Saccharomyces cerevisiae S288C: one gene and its partner. The gene in region 2 interacts genetically with the main gene of each other region. Each region holds a gene or a part of one and is shown on either strand. Other genes may lie near its edges.

The links. Genes that interact genetically often act in the same process or in processes that back each other up.
Region 1: mutations in ACO2 (region 2) and BIO4 together harm fitness less than expected from each alone (positive genetic interaction), as found in Saccharomyces cerevisiae (one large-scale study listed by BioGRID).

The regions. Positions count from the first base shown.
Region 1 is NC_001146.8:732,068-737,085, reverse strand, and holds BIO4 (dethiobiotin synthase), read left to right. Parts: upstream 1-3,016; coding exon 3,017-3,730; downstream 3,731-5,018. Other genes in the region: MNT4 (putative alpha-1,3-mannosyltransferase), read right to left, coding at 1-283; BIO3 (adenosylmethionine-8-amino-7-oxononanoate transaminase), read right to left, coding at 1,353-2,795; BIO5 (Bio5p), read left to right, coding at 3,783-5,018.
Region 2 is NC_001142.9:54,605-61,066, reverse strand, and holds ACO2 (aconitate hydratase ACO2), read left to right. Parts: upstream 1-2,253; coding exon 2,254-4,623; downstream 4,624-6,462. Other genes in the region: PHO90 (SPX domain-containing inorganic phosphate transporter), read right to left, coding at 1-223; MBB1 (Mbb1p), read left to right, coding at 885-1,211; ECM25 (Ecm25p), read right to left, coding at 4,889-6,462. UniProt on the Saccharomyces cerevisiae protein: Catalyzes the reversible dehydration of (R)-homocitrate to cis-homoaconitate, a step in the alpha-aminoadipate pathway for lysine biosynthesis.

The DNA of each region.
Region 1 (5,018 bases), on a different chromosome or scaffold from region 2:
ACACAGTTTTCACATCCTTGCGACTCCTGGTCACGTAAGATATAAAAGATTTCCATCTATTCGGTTCATAGAATTTACTTGTCAATTCCGGCTTTTCATATTCCTCTATTTGACGCAGTCTAGAAAAGCAGTGCACGTTGCCAGAGCGATCATCTTCTCTGCGTGTTTCGAAATGGTCGGAGAATGGATACTGTCGGTAGACCCTAAAAAGAACAATGAGAGACAACAATGATGTGAAGATCAATGGTGCCAGTTTCTTAATTCTTCGTATGCGCAATACCATTTTTTGCAGAGTACGTTTTTAAAGATGGCACTTTTACCTTAACACAAGGGACTCAATTTCATGTTAACAAATTTCATCTTTTCCAAGTGTTACATAGCACTACCGATCCTTTCCTAGGTAACGAAACCATGATAAACTAGTGCTGCTGCTTTAAACAAAGAGGCGCAATGTTTACCTTCAGAAGAGAGGTCATACAATTACTTGGAGGGTAACATTACTAATTTTGCAGAGATTGCAACATAGGTGATCTTATATGTTGAAATAAAAACTACTGCTGATATTGCTTGCTTTGATAATAACAATATTCGAGGGAAAATACTGCCCATGCTACTTCAGTGTGATGGCAAAGCGTTTTCTCATCTAGGAGAGCAACGGTTTGATCCCCGTGAAAAGCCTGGGCCCAGTACATCTTGTAAGATCTTACACAATATTAAGTTATATAGACATCGTTTACTACATTCAAGGTCTTGTGAATAGTTACTGCGGATAGGTTAATAGAGGAAGATATAGTGCAAAATTTCAAGTAGCGGAAGATAATCAAATGCTGAAGGAAATTTACAGGTTTGCCTCAATAATAATCTTGACTCTGCCGGAAAAATTTACCAGAGGGTTCAAAGGTATGAGTTGTACGACCCGGTTCAACAGTAGTTGCTTGAAGAGTAAGCTGAGCCTATAATATCCCATCTTTTCCGTTCTTCTCATAATAAATAAAAGATAGGATCGTGAGATGTGTCAGCTGCTGAGGAGTGTAACTAGCGCTAATGGGAGAACATAGAAGAGAGTACCGTGATGGCACAGAAGGCGGGTAGGCGACCACGGACCATTTCGGTCCAGATTTCTCAACTCGTACTTCCTGTGATACGTTCTTGCCCTGAACTAGTCAATTTTCTCTTGTGCAGCAGGCTTCGACATAGTTTTATGATAAGAAAAGTAAGATATAAAGGTCCGCTAGAATAAATAACCATAAATTTTTTATTTTGAGTTATATCAATATAAATAATAGCGTAAAAGAATGCATTTTACGCAAGAAATAAGAATTCCTTGGCAAATGACTTGATGAGATCGTATATCATTGGTTTATGTGGGATTTCCACTCATGTAATACTTCAATCAAGACTTGATTAACCTTCGTCAATTCCTCTGTCGTGATCACATATGGTGGCATAATGTAACACAGGCAGTTGAAAGGTCGGATATGTACTCCCTTGGATATAAACTTTTTCTGGAACCACTCGGGATCTGTCTTCTTGTATAGCTCTACGATACCTACAGCTCCAATAACTGACACACGCTTAACAACAGTTCCAATGAGCCCATTATCTGGGTTCTTGATGTACTGGTATAGTTCTCTATAAATTTGGTTTTCAATTGCAGACACTTGTTTTCTCCACTCGCCACGCAGTAGTATATCCATAGACTTTTCTGCCACACTGCATGCCAGGGCATTGCCCATGAAGGTGGGGCCATGCATGAAGCAGCCACCAGTAGGGCTATTTGGAGAAGAGATTCTGGAAGCAACTTTGTCGTTGACTACCACTGCACTCATAGTCATATATCCACTGGTTAAGCCCTTCCCAACGCACAATATGTCAGGAACAACTTTGATCTGATCGGAAGGACTGATGCCATGTTGGTCCTGGTATTTTTGACAGTGCTTGAATGCGAAAATCTCACCTGTTCTACCAAATCCTGTAGCAATCTCGTCCATGATGAATAAAACGTCGTATTGGTTACATAGTTTCTGAACTTCGATTAAGAACTGTGGATGGTATGGTCGCAAACCTCCTGCACCCTGTAAGATAGGCTCCAAAATCACAGCACAGATCTTATCACTATGCAATTCAAATTGCTTCTTGAGATCGGTAACTTCTTCTGCATTCCAATGGTCCTCGAAACCGTTCTGGCTGGTTGGAAGGCCATCGACAATAGAGGGAGCTTGGGCGAAGATGTTCTCACTGAGTCGATCGTTGTAGATATGATGCATAGAATTCTCAGGATCACAAACACTCATAGCGCCAAATGTATCACCATGATACCCGTTCTTGATTGTCAAAAACTTTGTTCTATTTTTAGTAGCTTCCCCTGACATGTTTGATTGTAAAGCCATCTTCAAAGCTACTTCCACTGCTACTGAGCCAGAATCTGCGAGGAAACAGTACTGCAAAGAGGGTTCATCAATCACTTTTAAAAGTTTTTGGACTAGATTCACAGCTCCTTTATGGGTGAATCCACCAAGAAGGACGTGAGAAAACTTTAACATCTGCTTGGTAAGGGCCTCATTTAGTTCTGGATTATTGTACCCGTGAATAACACACCACCACGACGACATGGCGTCGATCACCTCGACGTCCACTGGTGAGTCGGTATCCAACACCAGCTTGCATCCGTGAGCACTCTTTACCGGATAAACGTTCAATGGTGAACTCAATGACGTATAAGGATGCCAAATATGTTTTTTATCAAAGTCTAGCAGTTCCGCGACATCTGGTGTATATGAAATTTCTTGGGACATTAGTTGTTATCCTAGCAATAGAAAACGAATTGCGCTGTTGACATCCTCCCGACCAAAAGAAAATGAAATATACAAACAATGGCTATTTATAATTCAAAATTATTGGGCAAAACAAAATAAAATCCCGCTGGTAGTTCGTTTACTGAAGTATATAAAGAGATATACTTTTTTCCACAAGTAGGCCAGTGAAAAGAACTCAAAAAATCACTAGCGCACAGGTCATGAACAGCAAATCTCAACAACAAGAACAACAACCAATTGTATTCGTCACCGGTACAGACACTGATGTTGGTAAAACCTTTGTATCAACATTATTGGTACACAAATGGAAAGCTGCATACTGGAAACCCGTACAAACTGGAATTGAGTCAGATCAAGGTGACTCCGAGACATTGAAAAATTTCAAAATAGCCGCATCAACTTGGCAACCACCTATATTCACGCCCACTTATGCGCTGCAGAAGCCTCTATCTCCGCTCCAGGCCATGGAGTACGAACCTAATGTCGACATCAGGTTGTTGGATTTCGTAGTTCCTGAAGAGTGGAGCGCAGAGAATCCATTGGTCGTAGAAGGAGCCGGCGGGGTTTGCGTTCCTATCACTCGTAAATTGGAAATTACGACGGATCTAATTAAACATCTGATTGAGACTAGCGGCCATCCAGTGTACGTAGTTGTCGTGGCACGCAGCGGGCTAGGGACTCTGAATCATACATTGCTGACTTGGAATCATCTTTGCGATAATGGCTTGAGAAGCCACCTTTTTGGGGTCATTCTCAATGGGGAACCGAATGAAGGCAACGTGCAGGCCCTGAAGAAGTTCGGTGTCAATATTATGGCACAGGTTGCACAATGTACTACGGCACATGATCAGGATATGGAGTTGCATGAACTGCCATCGGTGGAGTCATTAATGACCCAACAAGACGTAGAATAGTTTAAATAAAAAAGTTGCAAGGCTTTCATCAGCTATATATAAGTAGCATGGTATGAACAGAGTAGGGGCAGTGTTCCTATTTGTATATGAAAGAAATTTTTTTTTGTCTATTGTTCCAGATCGTCACAGGACGGAAATAAGAATGTCTAGTTCAGAAAGGTCAGAAGTCAAGTTTGACAAGCACTTTAATTGGTGGTCCCTATTAGGTATCGCGTTCTCATTAAGTTGCTCATGGGTCGGTATCTCAGCGTCGATGGCCGTTGGTATTGCCAGTGGAGGGCCACTGCTTATCATCTATGGGTTGATAATTGCTGCTTTTTTCAGTCTCATGTGTGGTATATCTCTGGGAGATTTTGCTGCTATCCTGCCAAACAGCAGCGGTGGTTCATTTTGGGTTCTTAAAATGTTGGAACAAGAATCAGTCACTTTGAAAACCCCTGAGTACGAGGACCCTTCTGACGATGATGAAGAAGTGTTCCTCGAGAATTATTGTCAAACTTTCAACGTGGAAGTTTCTTCTAAATTTCAAAAGGTTTCTTCCATGGTTGTAGGGTTGCTGAACTATTTCGGTGCCATTTTTACTACCGCAAGTATCTGCTCATCTTTGTCAATGAGCTGTATCGGTATTCATAAGTTGTTGCATCCGGACTACGAGTTAAAGCACTGGCATGTTTTTGTGGGTTACGAGTGTATCAATGCCGTTTTGACACTTTTCAACATTTATTCAACTCCGTTGCCCTATATCTCTCAGTTTGGGCTCTATACGTCTCTATTGTCTTTCGCCATGACTTTCATTATTTGTATTGTTTCAAGATCTGACAACACCGTAGACCCATGGCCCAAAGCTTCTAATATATTTGGGAGCTTTGATAATCAAACAGGCTGGAATTCGTCTGGAATGGCGTTTGTTGTCGGTTTGGTCAATCCGATCTGGGCATTTGTTGGCATTGACTCTGCTACGCACATGATTGATGAAGTGGGTTATAGTAAGTCACGTTTCTTAGTTCCCAAAGTTATTATCACTACCATCATTGTGGGCTTTGTAACTAGTTTTATTTATTGCGTTGGTTTGTTTTTCTGCATCACTGACCAAACGGCAGTCGTTGAGTCTATTTTACCTATCGTAGAAATATTTTACCAGGCCACTGGTAATAGGAATCTCAGTGTCTTCCTGCAATGTATGTGTATCACAACAGGTTTTGTTTCAGGCATTGCAAGTGGAACCTGGCAAAGTCGAATCCTCCAATCATTCGGGAAAAGTTACGCACCATTTTATAAAGAGGGTTCC
Region 2 (6,462 bases):
TACCGGAAGACGTATCTTCCTTCGCATTTTTAAAAGAAAACTTGTTTTTGAACCTATCTGTAATGTTAGAGCTCTTTCCTGCGCCAAATCCTTCTTCGTTATCACCAACCTGAAGTTCATCTGTTTGTAGCGTGTAAATAAGATTTTTCAGCTCGCTGTAGTCCATATAATGGTTTTGCCATTCTGGGACAGCATTGTACTTCAAGAAGTGTGAAAATCTCATGATCCTGTACCAGCTACCACTTACTCGTTTATCCTAAAAACAACTTTATTGGCCGGATGACATCGAAGTGAACAGTGTTCTTTATATCGATGAATCAAAATTTTTCAGTGAGCCATTCATTCTTCGAGAAGCAGCGCAAAAAAAAACAAAAAAAAAAAAAACGGCTGTAGCTGCGGCGATATTGTGAGCGCCCCGCTTTAGGGCGACTTTACCCATAGTAAAAAGGGAAGACAATAACGAAATAAGAAGAGAAGAGAACCGTGGTTTCTCTGTTGCTTAGGATCATATACGCCTACAGCAAGGCACCTCTTTATGCGTATGCAGTCATACAAGGAGTGTGGAAATGCAGCACAGATGGCCTTCGCTGCTTGCCAGGCTGCCATTTTTCTTGGCTGCTGCCGCTACTACTGATTTTCTTACCTCTGCTAGAAACCAGTGGAAATGATTTATTCACAATCTAGCACCATGCAACATACATCCAAATCAGTGGAAATACGACATTATTAGCCGGCCCTTTACGTGCCAAAGGTAATAACAGTGAACGGGAGATGGGAAGCTTAATGCTGTTACCCGCTATCGGTTGTTGCTATGTAAACCAAATATAAATGCAAGCCAAAAAAAAAGGGTAACATAAGGTTAAGTAGGAGAAGGGAGATATTGAATGTATAAGGTGTCAGCATGTGGGGTGAGGATAATGAGTGGCATATCAGAAATTTGGATTGGCGAACTTAGAGATTACAAGTACGCTTTACGTCTTGATAGAGAAGAGTATCCAGCGGTGCTTGTTTACGAGTATGACTCGTCTTCTACTAGGAACTATCTTTTTACCATAAAGTACAGCGATCAGAGGCCGAACTGGCAGCTCATTACTCGTGACGCAGCTTTAACAGCTTACGACTTACTTAACAGAGGTGGCGAGTTCACAACTCTCAGCTTTCCGGGAGCCACTATTCACCGTTCAGTCAGTGAGCTGTCCCGATTGCATTAACAATATATAAGGGAGCAGAGCGAAACAATATGAGGTTCAGTAACATTTAAGGGTCGCTATTGAGTGTTTTGTGAGATATAAGTGAGTTTTGAGATAATTGTTGGGATTCCGTTGTTGATAGAGGCTACAATATTATGTATACAGAATATACTAGAAGTTCCCCTCGAGGATATAAGAATTCTCAAATGGAATCTATACATACTAATAATACGACTATTCCTCATTCCGTTTTCATATGTTTCGTTCCTATTACACTATCAATCCTTGCATTTTCAGCTTCCATTACATTTGATGACTGATTCTCAATCTTTATGTTATCTTTTTACACCACATGTGATAGTATACTACTAAACAGTATGCGGTAGCTATACTCTTTAATGAATGGGCGAAGCCTCCCTAGTATTTTATCTTGACATATCTAAAGGATTGCACAATATTGCGATTTGTTCTCCACAATGAAACCTTCTCAATAATTGTCCGATCATCCACCCATTTCTTAAGATGATAGACGATTCTTAGTCCAATAACATTGTATCCTTTACGTTCCGTAGAATATCATGTTGTTGATCCTCTTCTCAGCACAGTGCTTATTACTCTCACATCAACATCAAAAAAATTGCTTCATGATTAAAATGTTTGTGGAATATAACCGTTAAAATAGGTCAGGCAAATATAAAATAGAAGCTTCTATGGCCAAGTTGGTAAGGCGCCACACTAGTAATGTGGAGATCATCGGTTCAAATCCGATTGGAAGCATATATTTGATTTTTTAGCAATTAATTTTTTTTTTTTTTTTTTTTTCACGCTCTTGAGTCATCGCGAGTAAAATTCCACTGGAAAATTTTTTCAATATATACAAAGTTCCACAATATCATACAGCTCTCACATCGTAGATTATGTCAATAGATGGTATGGCATCAAACATGTATATAAACTAAAATATTTTCATCTTTTCGTATTATTCGATTTGCGCACTTGCAAAAATAAGAATTTTCGACTTTCTTTAAACATAAAACTCTAAGAGCAATAAGCAAGAGATTCGATGCTATCTTCAGCTAATAGGTTTTATATAAAGAGGCATTTGGCAACACATGCCAATATGTTCCCCTCTGTATCTAAAAATTTTCAAACAAAAGTGCCACCTTATGCAAAACTTTTGACCAACCTAGACAAGATTAAACAAATAACAAACAATGCTCCATTGACACTAGCAGAAAAAATTTTATACTCGCATCTTTGCGATCCTGAAGAATCGATTACTTCTTCTGATCTGTCCACCATCCGTGGTAATAAATACTTGAAGCTAAACCCAGACCGTGTAGCTATGCAGGACGCTTCTGCCCAAATGGCGCTTCTACAATTCATGACCACCGGTCTAAATCAAACATCTGTCCCAGCATCCATACATTGTGATCATTTAATTGTAGGTAAGGACGGTGAAACTAAAGATTTACCCTCTTCCATAGCTACCAACCAAGAAGTTTTCGATTTCTTGGAGAGTTGCGCAAAGAGATATGGAATTCAATTCTGGGGCCCAGGTTCTGGTATCATTCACCAGATTGTTTTGGAAAATTTCTCAGCTCCAGGTCTAATGATGCTAGGTACTGATTCCCATACACCAAATGCAGGCGGTCTGGGAGCTATTGCCATCGGGGTTGGTGGTGCGGATGCAGTTGATGCCCTCACAGGCACTCCATGGGAATTAAAAGCACCAAAAATTTTAGGTGTTAAATTGACCGGAAAGTTAAACGGATGGTCCACTCCTAAAGATGTAATCACAAAGCTCGCTGGTTTACTAACTGTCAGAGGTGGTACTGGTTATATCGTCGAGTACTTCGGCGAAGGTGTATCCACTCTATCTTGCACAGGTATGGCAACCATCTGTAATATGGGAGCTGAAATCGGTGCTACAACGTCAACTTTCCCTTACCAAGAAGCTCACAAGCGTTATTTGCAAGCAACTAATAGAGCAGAGGTCGCTGAAGCAGCTGATGTTGCTTTAAACAAGTTTAACTTCTTAAGAGCCGACAAAGATGCTCAATACGATAAAGTTATTGAAATTGACTTATCCGCAATTGAACCTCACGTTAATGGTCCATTTACACCAGACCTTTCAACCCCAATATCTCAATATGCCGAAAAAAGTTTGAAGGAAAACTGGCCCCAAAAAGTTAGCGCTGGTTTGATTGGATCATGTACCAATTCATCTTATCAAGACATGAGTCGTGTTGTCGACTTGGTCAAGCAAGCTTCCAAAGCCGGCTTGAAACCACGTATCCCCTTCTTTGTCACCCCTGGTTCAGAACAAATTAGAGCTACCTTGGAAAGAGATGGAATCATCGATATTTTCCAAGAAAATGGTGCCAAAGTTTTAGCAAATGCATGCGGCCCTTGTATCGGACAATGGAATAGGGAAGATGTCTCGAAAACATCAAAAGAAACGAACACTATTTTTACATCATTCAATAGAAATTTCAGAGCTAGAAACGATGGTAATAGGAATACAATGAATTTCTTAACATCCCCAGAAATAGTAACAGCGATGAGTTATTCTGGAGATGCTCAGTTCAATCCGCTAACTGACTCAATTAAATTGCCAAATGGGAAGGATTTCAAATTCCAACCACCAAAGGGTGATGAGTTACCAAAAAGAGGATTTGAACACGGTAGAGACAAATTTTATCCTGAAATGGATCCAAAGCCAGATAGCAATGTAGAGATTAAGGTAGACCCTAATTCTGATCGTTTGCAATTATTAGAGCCATTCAAACCTTGGAACGGGAAGGAATTGAAGACAAACGTGCTTTTGAAAGTTGAAGGTAAATGTACAACAGATCATATTTCCGCTGCGGGCGTCTGGTTGAAATATAAAGGCCATCTAGAAAACATTTCTTACAATACATTGATTGGTGCACAAAACAAAGAAACCGGTGAAGTCAACAAGGCTTATGACCTTGACGGAACTGAATATGATATTCCTGGTTTGATGATGAAATGGAAATCAGACGGTAGACCATGGACCGTGATAGCGGAACATAACTATGGTGAAGGTTCCGCAAGAGAGCATGCTGCTTTGTCACCAAGATTTTTAGGCGGAGAGATTCTTTTAGTTAAGTCTTTTGCAAGAATTCATGAGACAAACTTGAAGAAACAAGGTGTGTTGCCATTGACTTTTGCCAACGAATCTGACTATGATAAAATATCAAGCGGAGATGTTTTAGAAACGTTGAACCTAGTTGACATGATTGCTAAGGATGGTAATAACGGTGGTGAAATTGATGTTAAAATTACTAAACCAAACGGTGAATCGTTCACCATCAAGGCAAAACATACTATGTCTAAAGATCAAATCGATTTTTTCAAAGCTGGTTCAGCAATCAATTATATTGGTAATATACGAAGAAACGAATAAATTCTGAAGAGATATTAGCTAAAAATTAAGAGTCCGATTTAATAGTCATAAGCTAGTTTACACAATTCTATAGACTCTGCATATAGACGGTGCAAATAACCTACCTATTTATTTATTTATTTACTATAAAAAACGTAATATTGTTTGATATATAATATTATACACGAGATCTCGACTGCTTCAACTACGGCTTAACTCAAGGGTGGGGGGTATTTTGTTGTCGTATATGCAATATGTATGTGTTAAAAAGATACAATTATGTAAGTTACCACCTTTGTTTCATTTCATTCATTACTTGTAAACCTTGTAAACGTTCTTCGTACAATGCAGCTAGCCTGCTAACCTTGTTGCTTGCTTTAATATCTGAATATCCCTTTTGAGAGAATTTATCTGCTGTCTTTGAAGTAGTTTCATTTTTCTTCTTCTTTTCTTGTAGTTCTTTGTCGAACTTCTTAATCTTCGCGTTTTGGACGAGGGTTAAACTTTCAAACTGTTGTACGAATATATCTGTTTCCACAGAATTTTTATCCTTTGCTGGCTCGTCCTTAACCATTTCTTTGATATTATCTGATATCGTTAAATCGGTGCTGCTGTTACTCAATGGAAGCGAGTCTGCTGATGGAGTCTTCGTCGGTGAGGATAATGTATCTGTAGAAGAAGAAGCTAATGCCAAATCTGTATTAGAATTGGAAGTTAGAGACAGTTGTGGTCGTGTAACTGCCTTAATAGGAAGTGGAGGTTTGGCATTGAATGATGGGGATGAAACATTTCTGCTTGAAGACTTAGGTTTCAAGACTGGTGTATTTTGTAATGCGACAGGTGTGTACGTTGGAGACGTAACAGATCTTTGTGGACTAGGGCTTCGACTTCTAGGAAGGGTTAAGCAGCCTAGTTCACTGTATCTGGTTGGCGACGACTTCCTTGGCTTAGGCAAAACAGGGATAGTAGAAGACGATGATACGGATGAAGGAGGTGATGATATTTCCTTCGCGATTTCGGGGAAAAAGTCCAGTAAATTTTTAATATATCTCGACCCAATAGCTAAACGATCATTAGTCATCATGGAAAGTTTTTCCTTACATAACGCCGGAGTTAAAGCTTTACTTAGGGTCCTTGAATCATGTTTAGTCGATTCACCATGCGCTATGATCCTATTAAAAAAAGGAATTATGACCATAAAGAGGTCCTGGTATTGGTTGAATTTAATAATTTTGCGGAATGTTTCACTTGTGAACTTTAGATCATCAACAATTGGTAACGGAATTAATTCAATTGGGATTAGAGGTTTGGCTTTATTCTTAATGAAGTAATTCAACCACACGGATGCCAAAGAATAAATATCCCATTGAGATAAATCAATGTAGTTGTTTCTTTTGATAATATCCAAAAAAATGTTTACCTTTTTATAGTTTCCCGGCTTCTGGAATATCAATTCACACAACAGAGCGTCATTCTGTAATTTCTTGAAAATTTTATCGAATACTAACTGCCTATACTGTCTTATTGCCAGAGGGGTCAATCTGTTATAATATTCCTCCGGGACATTTATATGTTCGCGTATCTGGTAATCATATAAGTACACGTTCAACGATATTCTAAGTCGCGTAATATCTATTAGCTCGGATAAAGAAGTCAGGTCCAAGACATGAACTAAACTTGGAAAATCATGCTGACTATCTTTTGAGTCCAAGAAGTTAAAGTTCATAGCGTTTGAAATTACTTGATAGACCGACCTAACGAAGAATGACTCATGAACAATAAAAATCTTTTGTAAATAGAACTTGGTCTCTTTGGGTAACTTTGCAAACATTTTAATACCGTAAACCCAGCTTATTTTTC